Linked DNA regions of Drosophila melanogaster. The protein of the gene in region 2 interacts with the protein of the main gene of each other region in a pairwise test. Each region holds a gene or a part of one and is shown on either strand. Other genes may lie near its edges.

Region 1 (3,958 bases), 7.0 Mb from region 2:
GTGTGCCGTTGACTTTTGCGCCTAAGCAAAATTTGTGCCATGTGTTTTGTGGCCGCTTTGTTTGTTGGCTCAAAATTGCTGGCAGGCTGCCACACGAGGACTCTTTGGGACTGCGATTTGGACTGGGATCGGGACACCGAAACCGAAACTGAGACTGAGACTGAAACTGAGGATGGGGATGAGGATAAAGTCGAGGACGAGGCCGAGTACGAAACGAGACACAGACAGGACTTGTCACGTCAGCGGCACAAAGCCCGAGCACAAAGGCCTGATAACTGCAGTCGCCTGATAAGCAGCGCCCCAAACAAGGATCTGCCCATCTACTTGGCGACACTCGAAAAAGGGGTGGATATTTAAATGTTTATAAACATAAAACTTAGATTAATTGAACCTTTTAAAACCAGTGCTTTTTGTTGTAATAAATTGGTTGGTTTACCATTGAGACAACTTTTTTCTTTTTAAAGGTTCTTCTTTGACCCCCAATTTATCCAAGTGTGGCCTTTTTACCCCAGGGCCCACTGAAGACCCTTCGCCACCCGGAAGCACAAGTCCCTTCTTTTGTCATTTCGCTCATAACGTTAATTTATATTCAGTTCAGTCTAAAAAAAAAATGTAGAATAGCCAGTGGTAGTGTAAGTACACCTAGTACAGTGAAGCCCGTGTGACAGCCATCGAGAGAAGGAATGTGGAAGTTTGGATAGGTTGCTTGTTTAAATTAAAGGATCCTAGTTGTAGAACTGCTGGCGACGGCGCTGTGCCGGAGCGGCGGCCACAAAGCGACGTCCCGAGTTTCCGGCGGAGGAGGAGCCCTCGTTGGCGGAGTACAGAAGCAGGGGTATCTCCTCCACGCTGGTCTGCTGCTGCTGGGCAGAGTTGCGCACGCCGGAGCGGAGCAGCTCGTCGGCGGATAGGCGGCGCAGGGCGGCGGGAGCGACGGCTACAGGAGCGGCGACTGGAGCGGCTCCGTCTAACAGCTGATCCTCATCGTTCTCTGGCTGCTCCAGTACCACATCCTCGGGCTGGGCTACGGCAATGCTGTTGCCCACGGGGGCCTCGCCTTCATTGTCGGCAGCCGAGATCGAGCTGCTCTGCAGCAGAGCCTCGATGTTCTCCAGGTTGGACAGACCGTTGATCTGCAGCTGGTCGTGCAGCTCGGCAGGAATGGCGATGGCCTGGACATCCTTGTGACCGGAAATTCCATTGGGTGTCGGGATGAACTGAACGTTCTCGGGAATCTGATCGGTGGGATAGACGGGCACCAGCTCGGCCTCGTTCTCGTTGCTTGACTTCAGCAGGATCAGAGAGATGGGCACGATCTTCTTGAACTTAAGCAGAACCAGCTTCTTAATGGCCACGGCACCGGGGAAGACTCGTCCCTGGGGACCACTGTGGGGCTTCGCTATGAGGGCACGCTGCTCAAAATGCTGCCTGCGATGGTGTCCGCTCACATGGCGGGCTAATGGGATACAAAGACATGGGGTTAGGAAATAGGGTTGGCAGAAATGGTTTAAATTCGCCCTGACGAACTAGTTTAGCTTTTAATATCATCGTATATTAGGAACACATATTAAAAAAAAGTCAATGCACTTCAACAAAAGTCTGTCATTATTAACAAAGAACTATGAAAATTGCTTGTTTCTCAAAAACTATGAAAGCAATTTATTAATTAATAACCGTCACTTAATTATGATTTCGAAGAGAATGTATGATACTGATGGATATTGGAAAAGCGAACATAATTCATCAAAGATTATTTTTCGTCTCCTAAATCACCAACCAACTCACCTTCGCACGCGGCAAAGATTGCCAGTCCGATGGTCAAAAGGGCTACCAACTTAATTGCCATAATGATGTATATATGGGATCTTCTTGTGAACTTGGATTTGATGTGGACTTGGACTTGGACTTGGGCTTGGGTCTGTCGCTGGACGAGGGCCTCTATTAAATGGTCCATCAAGTGCCCGGCAAAGACATTTTATACAGGGAAGGAACATTCACCTGGCCGGCGAAAAGCAGGCAAAACAGCGTAGACACATAAAAATCACACGAAAAACAAAAGAAATTAGGTGGCCAGGCAGCAGAACAAAGTAAAATGTAGCGAAATTGGTGGGGACTTGGACGATTGGCAAATTATTAAACTATGCAAATGTCCGTCGACTGATTTATGCACAAAAACCAGTAATAGAAAACCCAAAAAGCAGAGAACCCAAAAACTCCTAACATCCCAGAGATCGCAGAACGTTGACTTCTGGTGGCTACATTTCCATTTCCAGTTGCATTTGACTCTTTACCAAAATCGAGAAATTTGCATTTTGGGTCGCCTGGAGAAATACGGAAAAATACAAAAACCGTCTGGCGAATTCTTGAGCCAATTTTGAGGTCAAAAGTGAGATTTTCAATAAGTCAAACCGTTTCCATTTGTCAATGTCCGAAGTGGGCGAGGTCTCACTGTTCTTCCCCGCAGATGTCAGAGTTCGAGGCTTATTTGGGCCACATTCATTTGCCTGCCTGTCTGCCATATAGCCATATACAAAGATATTCTTTGGCCAGCCAGCATGTGTTCCCCATTCGGATCGAGGAACGAGCATTTAAATCAATCAAGTGGATCGAGTCCATAGTGCGAAATTTATTCTTTTCTCCGCCATTCTCTGCATTGAAAGCAGGCTCAACTTAGTGCCAGAGATTAAGTGGCTAATCTATCGAACTATTAGTGATAAGCTGCGCGAAATAATGGCATGACGGATTATGGTTTTATGGAATTTATGAGTGTCTGCTCTCTTTTTTGTGTTCTTCTATTGTTGGCTAATTTAAATCAATAATCTTCCTTTTGTTTAGGACCTATGCAAAATTAAAGCTATTTTGAAAATAGCATTTAAAATGCGCCTAAAAATTGGCTGTAAAAGTGTAAATGTATTGGCCAAAAGAGTTTTGCTATAGAGAACTTTAAATTTAAATCACAGTCCGCCTGCAAAATAATGCAAGATCGTAAGAAACAACTATCTGAATTAAAATAAATTGCAATTGCTTTTGCATTTTCCTTCAAATATTACCATTATTTTCGGCTTGCAAAACAATTGTAAAGAACAATAATTTTCACAGAGCGGGTACATCGAGCTATTCCCGATATTAAATGTTAATTGAATGCCTTCAATAGTGGCTGAAATTGGAGACCAATCGATTTCCTCAGCCCTACTCAATTCCGAATTTGGGCCACTGACCACGGGTGGTATGATTAATTTATGTGCTGTATTTTTTTCGAACTCCATGTTTTTTTTGCCAGCCTCTCCGATGGTTTATCTAATTTATGTTATTGCCGCGGCAATTATTTAAATTTTCCACAGCTACCGTTGGCAGTTCTTTCTAATGACAAGGGCGGACTGGGGGAAAAAAAAAGGAAAACATATTTGCCGCCCATTATGGGCGACATAAACAAATGTTTTAATAACCAAATTATGCGAAAAAGAACGCAATGTATTCATAAGCTCGAAGAGCTGGGCGAGCAAAAGAGATCCCAGCCAAGTTATTTGATGCTAATGGAAATGCATAAAAAGATCGTAAATACTCATTAGCAAAGTGTGTGGTTTCTAGCTATGTATATGGCAAAGAAAGTTGCCCCCATGGCGGGGTCAGCACATCTCACCCAATCATTTGCGGGGTCAACATATTTTGGAAAGTTACTGTTGTAGGGAAAGTTCTATTTTTGGAGCGCGTCTAAGAAATATTCCCAAAAATTAGCACACTGATCCACATTCGATGAAAAGAAATCGCAGAGCGGAAATTACTAGTGAATTCGGGGAATTCACTTGACTTGCAATCAATCTATATCTCTTTGATATTCATTACTAATTTATGCACGTGTACAAAATGATAGCAATCAGGAAATCCGATTGATTAATTAAGCTAATGGTTCTTTTGCATAACAAGACAATGGTATTGTAAGCTATTTGAAGAAATCCTG
Region 2 (4,516 bases):
AACGCGACTGACTGATCGCTCCGCTCCGAGACGGCGGTCTACGATCTGAAATCTCGGATCTCCGCCAACCGGTTACGCCCCTCCCATCCCGCCCGCCGCAACTTATCCACCCTGGCTGAAAACTAAATCCCAAACAAGTTGCGTTCGTGCGATCGGTTGTTTGGCGCTCACTCAATGCGAGCTGCTCTAGCTTTTTTGTAATGTAAGCTTTACTGCACTGCGAGAAAGTAGATAGATGTTTTTAAAGGCCCTGAAAAGATCAACTATATAATGTTTATCTTAAAACATAAAAAATTAAAAAAAAATCTATAGTGTTTTCTTAGCTTGTTAAAATGAATTTCATTACTTTGAGCTTCGAACGTTTTTTGTCTATTTATTAGAATATTTATATCTATGATTATTAAATAATAGTCTTAATCAACAAAAAAACTTGCGATTAACGGGTAATTATTATAAATAATTCATAAAGCTTGTTTTGAATTCAATTAAAAAAAATTGTTGCAATTTTAATTTAAATTTATAGAAAATTATTGATGAATAACGTGAATGATATGTTTATTTCAATTTATTCGCTTACATTCTGGCTTTCTGTGTGAAAAGTGTGCTCCATTAAATGTTTACTTATTGTTTATACAAATTTTACGCGAAATTGATGGATAATCAACTTAAATGAACAAAGCTACGGAAGCGTTTTTATATATCAAACAACTATCAAATGTTGTCAACCAACGCTCAATTTAATATTATTTGCACCCCAATTTACTTTCCCATGTTACAGATAAGTTGTGAAAGAAAAACAATCATTTCATTTCAGATATAGATAATTATAAGATCATTATTTCTTTATTCACGCTACAAAAAAATATTTGCTTATAATATATCTGACTACAGTTGCAATTTATACTGTGAGTCCGTTAGCGCTGTGAAATTTATTCTTTGTGGTGTTAGGCCTTTAAAGTGCATTGTTTTGTTTTTATAATAATTTAAAAAATATATATTATTTCTTGTGCTTGTAGAGCTCGAATTACTCATTTGGGTGTCCCATTCTTTTGACCCGAATTCCGACTTCTTTGGGGGGCACATGGCGGCCTGGGACGTGTGGGGTATACCCAATTGTAGCAGCAGCCGCGATGATCCCTTGCAGAGCATATAAATCCCGACCAGACCATCCCCTGGATAATTGGCAATGACAGGGAGATGATGACGATGATTATCAGTAGTCCGCTGGTGCCCAGAAGCTGCATCTTTCCCGACGACTGGCAATTAGCAATTGAAGCCCATCCAGTGAGATCGGCCCAATGAGACTCCTGTCGCTGGGATGATTCACTGATTCACTGATCCGTTGAGACCAAAACCGGCTCACAAGTTATGCCGGAGTTGCAGGGCTTCAGTTAGCAGGCTGTTTGTTTATTTTTGGCCAATAACCACAGTGGCAAGAAAAGTCCAGAAGAGAAAGTCGGGAAAGAATCACAATCAAGTGAAGTGAGTCACCAAAGCGGAGGAAGCGGTTCATTAAGAACTTAAACCCAATTGGCTCTGTAGTCACAACAAGTTTTTGGGTTCCAGTTATGCTAAATTCAAGATTTCTTTTGTAAACACCGGACTTGAACTACAAACACATTGACCCTTTAGATTTGATCTATTTAAATCATTTCGAAAGTGAATTCTGCAAACAAAAAGATGTATTAGAAATAATAATATATGAAATGTGTTGTATACTTGAACTTACCCATATGTATACCAGTTGCAATGATGAATCAGCAAACGAGTTCGTACATTTTACATTTGATATTTTACAAAATAGATTATATAAAAATATATTAAATTAAATGCTGTAAATTCATAAATAGGAAAGGCTCATCGAATAAAGAGCAACATAATTTATTAATTAGTATACATATATATTAGCATAGTGCTTAACTAAGTGCTTCACTAATTCTTCTCTGGAATGTAGTCCACCTCATTGGCATGATCCTCCAGCCAGTCCAAGTGAACTGGCGGCGCAGAAGTGGTTAGTTCCTCCTTAAGATCGTTTTTGGAGGAACTCGAAGCCTCCGATGTGGAAGGGGTGGTCGTGGTGGTGACCTCCTCCGGTTCCTTCTGCTCATCCTTATCCTTTTCCTTATCCTTTTCGAATTTAACCGGTGAGGCGAGCACATTGACCAGTTTATTTATGCGCTGGAAGAGCGATATGGTGGCATCCCTGGCCTTCTCCTCCAAGATCTTGGCCTCCTTCTCGATATTGGCTATCCAGGGCTTGGCCTTCTCCAGAGTGCATTGCAGGCTGTGGACGAATTTGTTGACCTCACTGGTACTGGGAGTGGTCACCGAATCACCATCCTCTGCAGACTTAGCCTCCGATCCGCAGACAATGGAGGCTGCCTGCATTTGACCACAACTGGCAAAGAGGCACAGGCTGGCCAAAAAGACGGCGATGGTCAATGAATTAGTCATCGCAATTGTGGATCTCGAATCTCAAATCTTGAATATCGTGTATCGCCTCTGAGGCCCCACAATCGACTGAAACCCGTTTGCAGCCGCAGTCGTAGCCACTTGACCAAGTTCTTGGGTATCTTGTGGCTTTTGGGCTGCGCCATTGGGTTTTCGAGCTACGAAGCTCGGCGAGAAAGTCGTCGGGCAACAGAAATGCATTTTCGGCGAGCGAAGAGAGAGGCCTAGAAAAAATGAGACTTGGGAAATGTAAAAGGCGGGAGGTAGCGGAGAGCCGGAGAATTCTCCAGAATGTAATAGAGAAAAAATGGGAAAAGAGAAATATTTACGGCTACTTATTGCAATTGTAAAGGTGACTAATCCATCAAGTTCAACTTACACACGGCATCTCAACTAAACTTTTAAAAGAACACCCGGTTTAATGCAGCTGGACCATTGTTTTCGTTGTTATGGTGAAAAAGCGAATGCCTCAATGGTGGGACATCAGAAAACGACTATTGGAAAAAATTCGATACTAACGCTTTTTTGTCGTTTAAATAGCTAATAGCCAAAGAATAAACTGATTTACAAATGGTATTTTCGTAATAACTTGGCTGAAAATGCTCATAAAGATGAAAGAATATGTAAATAACTGATTATTTGATGACCAAAACTCGGAAACACGGCTTTTGCCAAAAACTTGATATATACAAACGGAATTTTCGTCATAACTTGGCTAAAAATGCTCATATATATGTAAGAATAACTGTTTTGAGCAGCTAATTACCAGTGCTAACGATCCCTATCACTTTTTGAAGAATTTAGGAAAATTAATTTTTCGGCCAATTTTTGCATTTTTTGTAAGGGGTAACATCATCAAAATTTGCAAAAAATGGCAAAAAAATTTTATTTCCATATTTAAACGCAGTTTGATTGGAAATTTAATTACGAGCACAATGATATATGGCATTCCATATTCAGACAATTATTTTTAAAGTTATGGCAAAAAAACTGTTTCTGAAGACCGAAATTCGGAAAAACGGATTTTGCCAAGAAGTTGATATTTACAAACGGAATTTTCGTCATAACTAGGCTAAAAATGCTCATATAGATGTAAGAATAACTGTTTTGAGCAGCTAATTACCAGTGCTAACGATAAATATCACTTTTTGAAGAATTTAGGAAAATTAATTTTTGGGTCAATTTTCTCATTTTTTGTAAGGGGTAACATCATCAAAATTTGCATAAAATGGAAAAAAATTTGAATATCATTTTTTTAATACAGTTTGATTGGAAATTTAATGACGAACTCAACGAGGTATTTAGTTCCACATTTGGACTATTATTTTTTTAGTTATAGCCCAAAAACTTATCAAATATCTCAGAAAATTAAATTTCGATTGGGTATTGCATTAATTACTCAACGCAATATGGCACAACTTATTTGGAGTATTATTTCCAATACTTTGTTTAAAACACTAAAAATTCACATACCAAGAAATAGGGACTTTTCCACATTTGTATTTTTACTGTCCATTTTTATTTACACATAAAAAAAAAAAACTCATAAAAAAACTTAAGTGTTAACGGGAGGGGGTAGGACTCTTTGGGGACTATTTCCTCAATTTGCTGCAGTTGCCCAAGGCATCCAGAATGTGTCCATGCCCACACTGCTGCTCGCCCTTGAGGATGTCCGGATTGATAATCTCCACGTTGGCCAGAAAGCCGCGATCCTTGCTCATCTCCTCGGCGGAATCCTTGGCCAGCTTGTCGCGGAAGTCATCGAAGCGATCCTTGAGATCGCTACCCAGGACCTTGGCCTTCTCGCCCAGCTTCTGGGCGCCCTCTTTGAGTTCCGTGCCCAAGTCCTTGGCCTTCTCGCCCAGCTTCTTGGCTCCCTCCTTGATGTGGCATCCCACGTTCTTGAAGAAGTCGCGCACCTCGTGCTCCGAACTGCTACTGCTGCCCGTAATCTCCGATATCTTATCGCTCACATCTCCAAGTCCGGGTATCTTGTCCTCGCAATCGAAGAGACCCGCCTGACTTTGAAGAAAAACTCCGGCGAGCAGCAGGAGGACCAGCGATC

What was found.
Region 1: the proteins of CG9689 (region 2) and CG14424 interact in a two-hybrid assay, tested with the Drosophila melanogaster proteins (one large-scale study listed by BioGRID).

What each region holds. Positions count from the first base shown.
Region 1 is NC_004354.4:2,925,324-2,929,281, forward strand, and holds CG14424 (uncharacterized protein), read right to left. Parts: upstream 1,936-3,958; 5' UTR 1,847-1,935; coding exon 1,786-1,846; intron 1,457-1,785; coding exon 726-1,456; 3' UTR 561-725; downstream 1-560.
Region 2 is NC_004354.4:9,879,966-9,884,481, reverse strand, and holds CG9689 (uncharacterized protein), read right to left. Parts: upstream 2,530-4,516; 5' UTR 2,455-2,529; coding exon 1,933-2,454; 3' UTR 1,730-1,932; intron 1,667-1,729; 3' UTR 812-1,666; downstream 1-811. Other genes in the region: CG9686 (uncharacterized protein), read right to left, coding at 4,044-4,516.